Caenorhabditis elegans: one gene and its partner. The protein of the gene in region 2 purifies or fractionates together with the protein of the main gene of each other region. This does not show direct contact. Each region holds a gene or a part of one and is shown on either strand. Other genes may lie near its edges.

Region 1 (5,161 bases), on a different chromosome or scaffold from region 2:
TCAGTTTCTGGGCTAAAAATGCAAAAAAACTTCATAAAAATTCACAAATTTTAGCTGAAAATCACAAAAATCTTACGAAAATTCACAATATCTGGACTAAAATTGCTCAAAATTCCGATTAAAGAGGTCAATTTTTGACCGAAAAATTCAATTTTCAACTCAAAAATCCGACTTACTGAATAATTCCATCTTCAATCAGAATATCAGCTACAAAAATCGCATCGTCATTGACAATTTGAGCATTTTTGACGAGCAAAATCGACATTTCACCGCCGCCTCCGTTGCCGTCGTCTCCACTATTCTTCTTCTCAGCAGCCGACTGCGCAGAGCTCTCACCGTCTGCCGTCTCTTCAATCGCCCCACTATTTCGTCGGTCTGTCGGCGTCTCTCCATTTCTTGTACTATCTCCGTCTTCGGAAGGATGACCCTTTTTGGAGGAAGAAGAGCCATTGTCGTCGTCGTCTTTTTCGTCCACTTTCGATTCGTATTGAGGCTGGAGAAAGTAAGAGATAAAGGATGAAGAAAAGAGAAGCTTTTTGCAATAAAATTGACAATTTTATAGGAATTTAAAGCTTTTTAGAGTAAAAATTGGGTAAAAACATAGAAAATTAACACTTTTATGTTTAAATTTTGCCATTTTCAAGCTAAAATTGCCTGAAAATTGCTATTTTTAGGGCTTTTAGAGAGAAAATTGGCTGAAAAAATTGGGGAAATTGGTTGAAAAAAATCACTCTTAAAGTTGTAAAAATAAGCTTTTTGCAATAAAAATTACCAGTTCTATAGTAAATTTTGAGCTTTTTTGGAGATTTTTCAGGCTAAAATCGCCTGAAATTTATAATTTGTATTAAAAGAGCTTTTTGCTGCAAAATACTGTACTTCTAGAGCTAATTTTCAAAATTGTGAAAAATTTGACTTTTCTTGTGTTAAAAACGTTATTTTAGAGCCAAATTATTGAAAATTGCCACGAAAAGTGGAAAATTACACTTTTTGCAAAAAAATTGACAGCTTTAGGAAATTTAGAGCTTTTTAGAGAAAAAAATTAACTAAAAATCGCTTGGAAAATTAACAAAAGTGCAATATAATTGGCAGTTGGAGCAAAAATTGCTCAATAATGTGGAAAAAAACTAGATTTTAATTTCTATTTTAGGAACAAATTGCCTGAAATCGGGGTTTTCTTTTAAAAAATCTGAAAATTCATTTAACCTATAATTGTCACTGAAATTTCTGAATTTCTCACCATTTTTCTATTTTTTTCTGCTCAAAATTTCGCGATTTTTCAAACAATTACAGTGAACATTAATTTTTTAATTGTTCTCCAGGTGACATCTGTTCAAACAATTCTCTCTCCCTCCGTCACAAACAAACAAAACGCCGCGAAAAACTTGCTAAACTATATCAAAAATTGATGGAAAGGACACAGAAAAATGGGAAAACTCGTGAATAAATCACGAACCTCTTCCATTTCTTGAGCTTCAGCCTCAGGCTCTTCCTCATCGTCAACGCCGGCGCCAATATCTGGACCGGGAAGCGATTCGGCGGGGTTGAAGCTTTTCGGGTAGCTTTGAGGATCTAAAACGTCTTCTTTCGCTTCTTGCCAATCCGAATCGAAGTCTGGCGTCGATTTTTCTCCGCGCAACACCTTTTCCGCCGGGCAGTTCGGGTCGGGGGGTAGTTCTGTAAAAAATTCTGCAATAAATACTTATTTTCTACATTTTTAATGGTTTTAAACACAGATTTGTGGCTTATAAACCACAAATTCTCTCGAAAAATCTGATTTTCTCACCAATATCCGTCATATCCATCTGTTCGAACCCTTCAAACCATTCTGGGCCAGGCTGAGAGAGTTTAGCATTGCTTACAACACGATCGGATGGCTGAAAATCAAAAAAATTGAAGAAAATTGCAGGAAAATCGGTTAGAAATTACAAAAATTGGGCTTTTAAATTTCAAAAAAATAACTAAAAAAAAACAAAACTCGTCGAGACCCACGTTTCGCAAAGTGATGTGTACCTTTAAAGTTACGGTAGTTGATAATGAAGGTTTAAGAGAGTTTTGCCTGGTTTTTGGTATATTTGACATAAAAAATTAATGAAAATTGGAATATAAAAATTATTTTAACATATAAAGTCAAGAAAACATTAGAAATAATGGCAAAAATCCTAAAAACTAAAGAAAAACAATTTTCGTGGCGAAACCTGGACTATATAAATTGTGATGCGCCTTCAAAGATTACTGTAGGACACGTTTGAATTTATTTTTCTATTTTATTTTATTTTTTCATTTTTTCTTCTTTCTTTCCGGGATGTTTTCGATTTATTCTAGAATTTTTTACTGTAAACACAAGTTTTTATCAAATTTTTCGTAAATCAACGTGGTTTTGCCCTGAACATTGCGACTTTTCGTATCCTGCGACATTAGAAGTTAGAAAAATTTTTAAACTCACCGCGTCGGCTGGGTTTTCTCGTTTTGATGGCGCTGGTGACGTGCTGCCTCCGCCACCAAATAGCTCCTAGAAAATTCGATTTTTCACCAAGTTTGCTAGAATTTTGATTTTTTAAACGGGAAACCCACCATCATTGCCGACGACATCTCGAGACCCTTGTTCTTGTGCCGCGCTGGAGCCGGAATCGCATCTTTAACCGGAATCGGAGAGGATTTTCCTTCGGATCGGGCCGACGTTGGCAGTGAGGACACACTCGTCTTTTTAACAATTGCCGAGCTTCGGCTGTTCGGACGGCTCCCTAGCTTATTCACTCCTAAATTGGGCAAAAACTTCGCTTAAAATTACGGGAAAACGTGACTAATCTAACCTTCACTACTCCTACTTTTATTAGAAACAGTCTCCAGGTCATCCAGATTCCTGAGCGTTGGAATTACAGATTTCTCGGTGCCAGTGCTCGATGGAGCTCTAGAATATGGAGAATCTGCTAGAAATGTGATTTCTACGTAGTACTTTGTGCCTTGTTGCTCTCTAAAATTGGATTTAATTGGAAAAAAAAACCACGGAAAACGCAAAACTTACACATGATTTGCTGATCGAATTGGTGCTAAAAACGGGAACATTTTCCAGTGATGTCCGCCAACTATTTGGCCCTCCTCTAGTGATAAATGTGTATTTTGCGCGCTTTCTGTAACGAAAAATTGGGTTTTTTCAATTATTTTTAGGTTAAAAAGAGGTAAAAATGAAGATTGGAGGAAAAAAGACGGGAAAATTTCAATTTTCGGATTAACTATGGTAATTGCGGTGGTAAATCTTCTTTAGAAATTTGCAAAATGTGACTTTGGGGGAACTTTCGAGGGGAAAAAACAAAATTTCCAGTGGTTTTTCAGGGGTTTAATCAAATTTTAAAGAAAAATTCATAAATTTTGAAATTTTTCTACGGAAAAAATGGCTTTTTACACATATTTTATGTAAATTTAGCAATTTTTAGTGTGAATTCTCTCACGAGACTAAAAATCTTATTCCTGCAGGAAAAAATCTAAAAATACAACAAAAATATTGTATTTTCAAAAAATAATGTTTTAGTTTTTCTAATGTTTTTTTTCTTAGAAAATCGATTTTTTTGCAAATCGAAAGAAAAAAATCTTCAAAAACCCAAAAAATGCTCCAAAATTGAAAAAAAACTAAATTTCACATCAAAAAACAGAGAAAATTGTTTGTATTTAAAAAATAAGAAAGCTGTAGAAATTTCTAAAATTTTCACGAATTTTTTCCAGTGAATTTCCAAAATTGAGATCAATTTTCTGGCTGCTTTCTAGAGAAAATTGACAAAAAAAAGAAAAAATTCAGAAATTTTTGAAGAAAAATCCTAACTTTTCTTTAAATAAAAAACCTAAAAATAAAATTCTGAAATTTCCGAAAAAAGGAAAAAATCTGATTTTTTAGAGATGAAATTTCTTGCAACTCTCTGAAGAAAATTAAACAATCCAAAAAAGCTCATCAAGAAACAAAGAAAAGTTGTCCCATCCCCACAAAAAGGCACGAAATCGATGTGAGATGGCCCCGAAAGCGGCGGCGGAAAGCCTCCGGGGAGTGTTCTCTGTGTTTCTCTCCGTCTCCGGCTCTCTCTCTGACTCATTCTCTCTCCACGAATACCATGTCAGAGACGCAGAGGGGGGTCACTATTGGTTTCTCTGACGCTCTCTCGTCTCTCGCTTACAATGTGTCCGCCGGAGAGGTTTCCGCCCGATTTATCGATTTACAAGCATCCATCGGGGATCGCTTGGAGCTCTGAATTTTTCGAATTTCCCGCATCTTTTTCCGATTGGATTTTTTTAGTTTAAAACCGCCCGCGGTCAACTGGTATTGCTGTGTTTATATTGAAAAAGAACACAATAATTTGTTTATTTCGCAACACACACCGGGTGGTGTGTCGGTATTTCAAACAATGATTCATCAAGAAAGGAAATAATCATAAGATGACAGTCTCCGTTTTTTCTGCTGATTTTTTGAGAAAAATCAGCAAAAAATTGAGATTCTCATTGCTTTTTTCTCGGAGATTTTGCACTAATATTCATCGAAATTCCGGATTTCGCGGATTTTTCATGAAAAATTTAGAAAATCCTTATGTACAGTAGTAGTGCTTCCGCCATTTTCTGCTATTTTTGGTGAATTTGTCCCGAAATTTGAGTTTTTAGCTGATTTTTCACGAAAATCTAGAAAATTCTAGAGGCTTCGATTTTTCCACCGATGCTCCATTACTCATACTCCGTTCTTTGTTGATTTTTTTTGAGAAAATCAGCAAAAAACTGAGATTTTCATTGCTTTTTCTAGGGGATTTTTTACTAGATTTTGTCGAAATTCGGGATTTCGCGGATTAAAAAAAATCGAGAAATTTCTGATTTTCAGTAGTACTTCCGCCATTCTTTGCTATTTTTGGCTGATTTTCACTAAAAATCAGCACAAAATCCTGTTTTTCCTTCTAATTTACAAAGATTTCTTGCTAGGCTTCGTCGAAATTCTGTTTTTTTTTCGCTAATGTATCACGAAAAATCGAAAAAATCTTCTTGCTGGCTTCTTGCTAATTTTTGCCGAAATTTGGATTTTTGATGAGATAAATCCAGAAATTCCTTGTTTTCAATAGAATTCTTATTATTTTCTGCCAAAAACTCAAACTTTTTTCCTCATTTTCTCTGGTTTTTGTAGATTTATCGAAAAAAT
Region 2 (4,993 bases):
TAGTGTTGTTGTTGTTTTTGTTGTGTCACTCTTGATATGTGGCTTGTACCTACAGTCTTGTAAGTTATAATCTCAAACTTTGACCTTAAAACTCCAAAAAGTTTCAAAGATTCTACCAGTGACCGGATGTTTGAAAAAAGAAGGAAATGTGCTCAACAGATGTGATCACTTCCTTTGGATTCTCCAGATGACTGAATTTTGTATTTTCTTATGTTTCCATTAGATTTAATTTTTAAAAAATGTATACCTGTTTAGTTTCCCGAACCACGAGAAATAATGCAAAATGATTTTTTCATCTATAAGAGCTCTTGTTTTCCTAGTTTCTGGTCATTTGTTTTAACGGTTTTTTTGCCTGACATGATAGATAAAATTTCATAGTTGTTTATTTGTTTGAAAATATCAATTTTCGCAATGAATAATCTAAAAATTAGTATCTCCTGGAGTATACTTACAGTAATCACTATTTTTCTATGATACCCGTTCCTCACCTGATACATCCAACTGTAGTTTCTGTGTTTTACTCTTTTATTAAATTTTGTTTCAAAAAAATGTGTTGCACTATTTTTCTATTCTTTCCCCTGTTTCACGCCCATCACTCGTCTCAAAAATCTTTTCACTACTTTTCTTCTCAACTCAATTCATTCCTAGGGGAGGTCAAATTACCACTATTCTTTCTTCTCACTTTCAATTTCGATTTGCTTTCTTTTCAGAAAATTACTGATATTTTTGAAAAAAAAATTATGATTATTAGTTTTAGTCTTTTTTAGTTGACAGTTTTTGATAGAATTTTTCATGTTATACATTTCTGTTTTTCGATACCAAAAATGTTTACCTAAACTGTCTAGACTTTTGAATTGGGAAATGTGCAATTCACAGATCGACAATAATTCTTTTATAAATACCAGGCGGTTTGTTCACGTGGTACTTTAATGACTTTTGGAACTTGACCCCGTCCAGGGACATAAAACCAAAACTATATTTAAATATCCAAAAGGCAAGACCTTATAATATTCACTCTACCCATTTGCTTTAATTCAAAAAAAAAAGTTCCCACAATGAATGGGTTTGTACGTATCGTTCATCCCCATCGCCAGGGCGTCAGAGAGTTCTCCATTTTCCGATGCAGTGTTGACTCACTTTTTGGCGGGAAATGGTCTTCTTTTCAAATGTTCCCTTTTTGGTACTTTTTGGTGGAAAACTGATGATATCATTTACTCTATTGTCAGACTGTTTCGTAGAATTTTTATGTTTTTTTTGGTTTCCGGTGGTTTTAAAGAATGTCAATTGCACATACGAAGTAACATTTCAACGAGCTGAAAATTCTTCGCGAAAGAGTAAATTTACTACTTCTTTCAATTTTTCTTTCACTTGTATATCTCATCTTATTGAGTAATTATTTGGAGCGTTGTACTACAGTTTAAGCAGAAAAGAGAAGATTTATAGAGCTTTATCATAATTTTTTGTGTAATCAGTTGTGGTCTGTTTCACAATTTTCAAAAAGTTGGCTCCGTGCCAGCAACACTTTCCGTTTTCCCACATTCCACCTCATTTTACTCAATAGGTGTTCGTCGGTAACATGAAAAGACTCATCTACCTCTTTTGATTATTTATGCAGACACGCTTATATGGGCACACACATACACACTTTGATGATAACGGTTTGTCCGTCTTTTATCAGGACTGACCCTTTCCTCCCTCGCAAATTTTTCCCGCGACATTCTTTTTGCTTTTTCTTTGGTTTTTTCTTTGATTTCCGTTGCCCGTTCCTTCCCGAATTGCGGATTAGAATGAATATTTTCAGACCTTATGAATGGAGGCATGCAGCAGTAAGACCTCGCTGCTTCTTCATTCGCCGTTGCGAACGATTCCGAAAGTAAGCTTTTTGTTGAATTATTTGTTTGCTAATTTTTTGGCAAACATTTCTAGTATTCACAGATTGAGATTAACACATTTTTCAGCTTCGACTATGTGCCAGTATAAGCAGTGAAGATGTTGCACATGGTCGGTGCAGTCTCACTGATCAACACTTGCAAATCGAAGGAAAGAACTATTCGAAAACGACATTTGATCATATCTTTAGAACAGATGCTACACAGGATGATATGTATACGGCATTTCTATCGGATACAATAAATTCAGTATTCGCTGGAAATGATGCAACAGTTTTAGCAATGGGAGCTAAAACTAATGGTGAGTAATTATTTTGGAGAGTAACGTTTTCAAATTTGAAGAACTTATACAATTTTCAATTTTTCCTCCATTTCTAATGGAGATACTATTTACGATTACATTAAGAATGTTTTTGAAACTCATCGAATACTAGAAATGTTCAGGAAAAGACGAACGTCTCTACGGGAACAGCGTTTCAAGAAACGGGTTGGTTCAAATGGCCATCACTCAATTAATGAATGCCCTTGATGATAACAAGTAGGTTTCAATGTTCTATATTTCCATTAAATTTCCTATTTCCAGAGATTCGGAAGAACGAATACAAGTTCGAATGTCTGCAATTATGGTGTCACAAAATGAATCTTCAATAGTCGATTTGTTAAGTCCATTCAATCCAGATCCACGTCACCGAGTGGTTAAAATAGTGGATGATGCTCGAACAGGAGTATTTATCGATAATGAGAGTGAAATTCGTGTCGAGACCATTGATCAGGCATTATTTTATTTGAATACTGCAGTGGATCATCGAATGATTCGTGAGTTGAAACATGATCTAAATGTCTTATACACAAGTTTCAGAAGACGAGCATACCCATCGAACAAGCCACGTGTTCATATCACTAAGCTTGTATTCGTATAAAATGGGTGACAAAATGCAAGGAGGACGTCGTCGACTTTGTTTCTTGGATATGGGAATTGGTGAGAGAAATTCAACAAATGGAGGAATGACAATGCCAGCATTAGGGAGTATTCTTTTGGCAATGGTTCAAAGAAATAAACATATTCCATCAAGGTGAGTATTTTGAAGAAATATTTTTTTAAAAAATTGGTCTGCAAATCAAAAGTGTACCTGGAGAAATCTGGAAATACAGCGTTCATAAAACCCTGAATATTCAATTAAAGTAGGAGGACTCGTGAGAATTTTGTTACAATCTACTCACTTTTATTATTTATTACCAAAAAACACAGTTTTGGTGAATTTTAATTTTTCGAGAAAAGTTTAGAGCAATGTGAGAAACAATTGATTTAAAAATCCTAGAAGTTAATCACCAGTCACTGTTTCATCCCCATATTTAAATGGAGCGTTCTAATTTGGCGTCACGTCTGCCTTGTAGGCACTCAAGTAGTCAATTTTTACTAGCTTCTAGTATAAGGAAGATCCATCAGAGTTTCACACATATTCTGCGGTCCTCCCCCAATTTTGTTCATTATGCCCTCTACTTCATCTCAATCAACCTTCATTTACCGGCGGAAAGATTAAGAGAAGATTGTCTAGTCACCCATTTATTTATTACCACTTTTTATTGAACCAGTTGTCGATGGATCGTTATTTGCGCGCGCGGAAGAAGTAGGAGGTGTGTAGGAGAGGGGCGCCGCGCTCTTCCAACATGGATCCTTCAGGACACATCAAAGAGAAGAGCCGCCCACGAGCCACACGAGGGATTAGATGAATTGGTGTCTTTTTTTATTTCACTGTTGAGAGATGGTACCTCCTGATGTTTTTGGTAGAGACAGGAAGAGGCGGTGAAGTGATGACATTTTCAATGAAAAAAAGAGAAAGCAGGGGAAGGGGAATGATGAATATAAAAATCGGGGGATTGTAAGAGTAATGAGAACAGGAAGGTGGACAATGAAAAAAAAAAACATCTCAATTGTTTTATTGCAAGTAGTTGTAATATTTCAACTCGAAAAGTTTAAATATTCAAAATTTGTCCAACTTTTTGCATAAGAAATGACCAATTAATCAATCCATATGCTTTTGTCGGTGAATCTTGCGTTTCCGGTCACCGCCTTCAAAAGTTGCTTGGGCATGCTCCCTTGGGAACGAAATGAATTTTATTTTTCTTTTGACTATCCTCCTTTTCCTTCTTTTTGAATTCTTCGTACCGAGAGAATAAATAACAAATTGCTGCCGCTTCTGCAGAAATAGAGCAGTGGTTCTTAGGGAATTGAAAGTTTGACAAGTGTTAGAATGTGTCAAAGTAGAAGATGTTAAAATGAAATTTTTCCTTTTTTACAGGGACTCGTCAGTGTGTCAACTCATCCGATGTGCATTGAGTACGTCAAGATTCACGACGTTCGTTTTTTCATTTGGTGCCAAGAGTGACGATAACGAGAACATTGCACATTTGGCTTGTAAAATCGCAAGGACTCGAGCAAAGAGTATGGTTGGACATGGAAGGAAGTCATCAGGGGTGAGTTTGAAAACATCAGTTCAGATAATTTATTACTGCTCGCATAATAAAGGTTTTTGAAAACTATTTTAAATTTAAGAATGGCAATATTTCAAAAATACAACAATTCTGAGAATTTATCCAAAAGCTTGACATTTGACAACTGTTTGCCAACTTACCGAAAATTTCACTGCAAATTTCAAAAGTATACAAGTTTTTGGAACATTGTATTCTTTCGTATTTTGAAGAAAATATTCCTACTACTAGTTAAATATTCTTACAATATTCCTACATTTTATTTTCTCTCACGGCACTCTCAAAAAATTCCTAGCGCTCAGTATTTGATCTGGTTGAATTTGGGGAAGTACTGTGCAAAGATATTTTTTTAATAGAAAACTACGATTTTGTAGGCTACTTTTTATCATTCTTTGACCTTTTTCCTCGGTCTCACTTTACGGTAAAATCCGGTCCACCTCTAGCATAACCTAAATATTAATATCGCTGCCGCAAACATAATACCATAATCGAAATTTGATCCTCTTTGTATGAATTCTTGTATATTGTATATTTACAAAGAAAAAACAACCGGCACTTCTTCCGCATTTTTTCTTCATTTTTAACATTCAGATATTTTTTTTTATTTAAAAAAA

Evidence for each region.
Region 1: the proteins of vab-8 (region 2) and unc-33 purify together in Caenorhabditis elegans (affinity purification with western blotting, with the first as the bait; one study listed by BioGRID). This does not show direct contact.

Annotation. Positions count from the first base shown.
Region 1 is NC_003282.8:3,514,788-3,519,948, reverse strand, and holds the start of unc-33 (Protein unc-33), read right to left. Parts: upstream 3,064-5,161; coding exon 3,023-3,063; intron 2,972-3,022; coding exon 2,811-2,971; intron 2,757-2,810; coding exon 2,572-2,756; intron 2,510-2,571; coding exon 2,444-2,509; intron 1,875-2,443; coding exon 1,784-1,874; intron 1,675-1,783; coding exon 1,454-1,674; intron 494-1,453; coding exon 177-493; intron 1-176. UniProt on the Caenorhabditis elegans protein: During neurogenesis, plays an essential role in axonal guidance and outgrowth by regulating the polarization of both microtubule and actin cytoskeletons.
Region 2 is NC_003283.11:12,211,526-12,216,518, forward strand, and holds the start of vab-8 (Kinesin-like protein vab-8), read left to right. Parts: upstream 1-1,801; 5' UTR 1,802-1,810; coding exon 1,811-1,873; intron 1,874-1,958; coding exon 1,959-2,190; intron 2,191-2,333; coding exon 2,334-2,427; intron 2,428-2,472; coding exon 2,473-2,705; intron 2,706-2,748; coding exon 2,749-2,962; intron 2,963-3,278; exon of another isoform or gene 3,279-3,391; intron 3,392-3,452; exon of another isoform or gene 3,453-3,596; intron 3,597-4,189; coding exon 4,190-4,364; intron 4,365-4,993.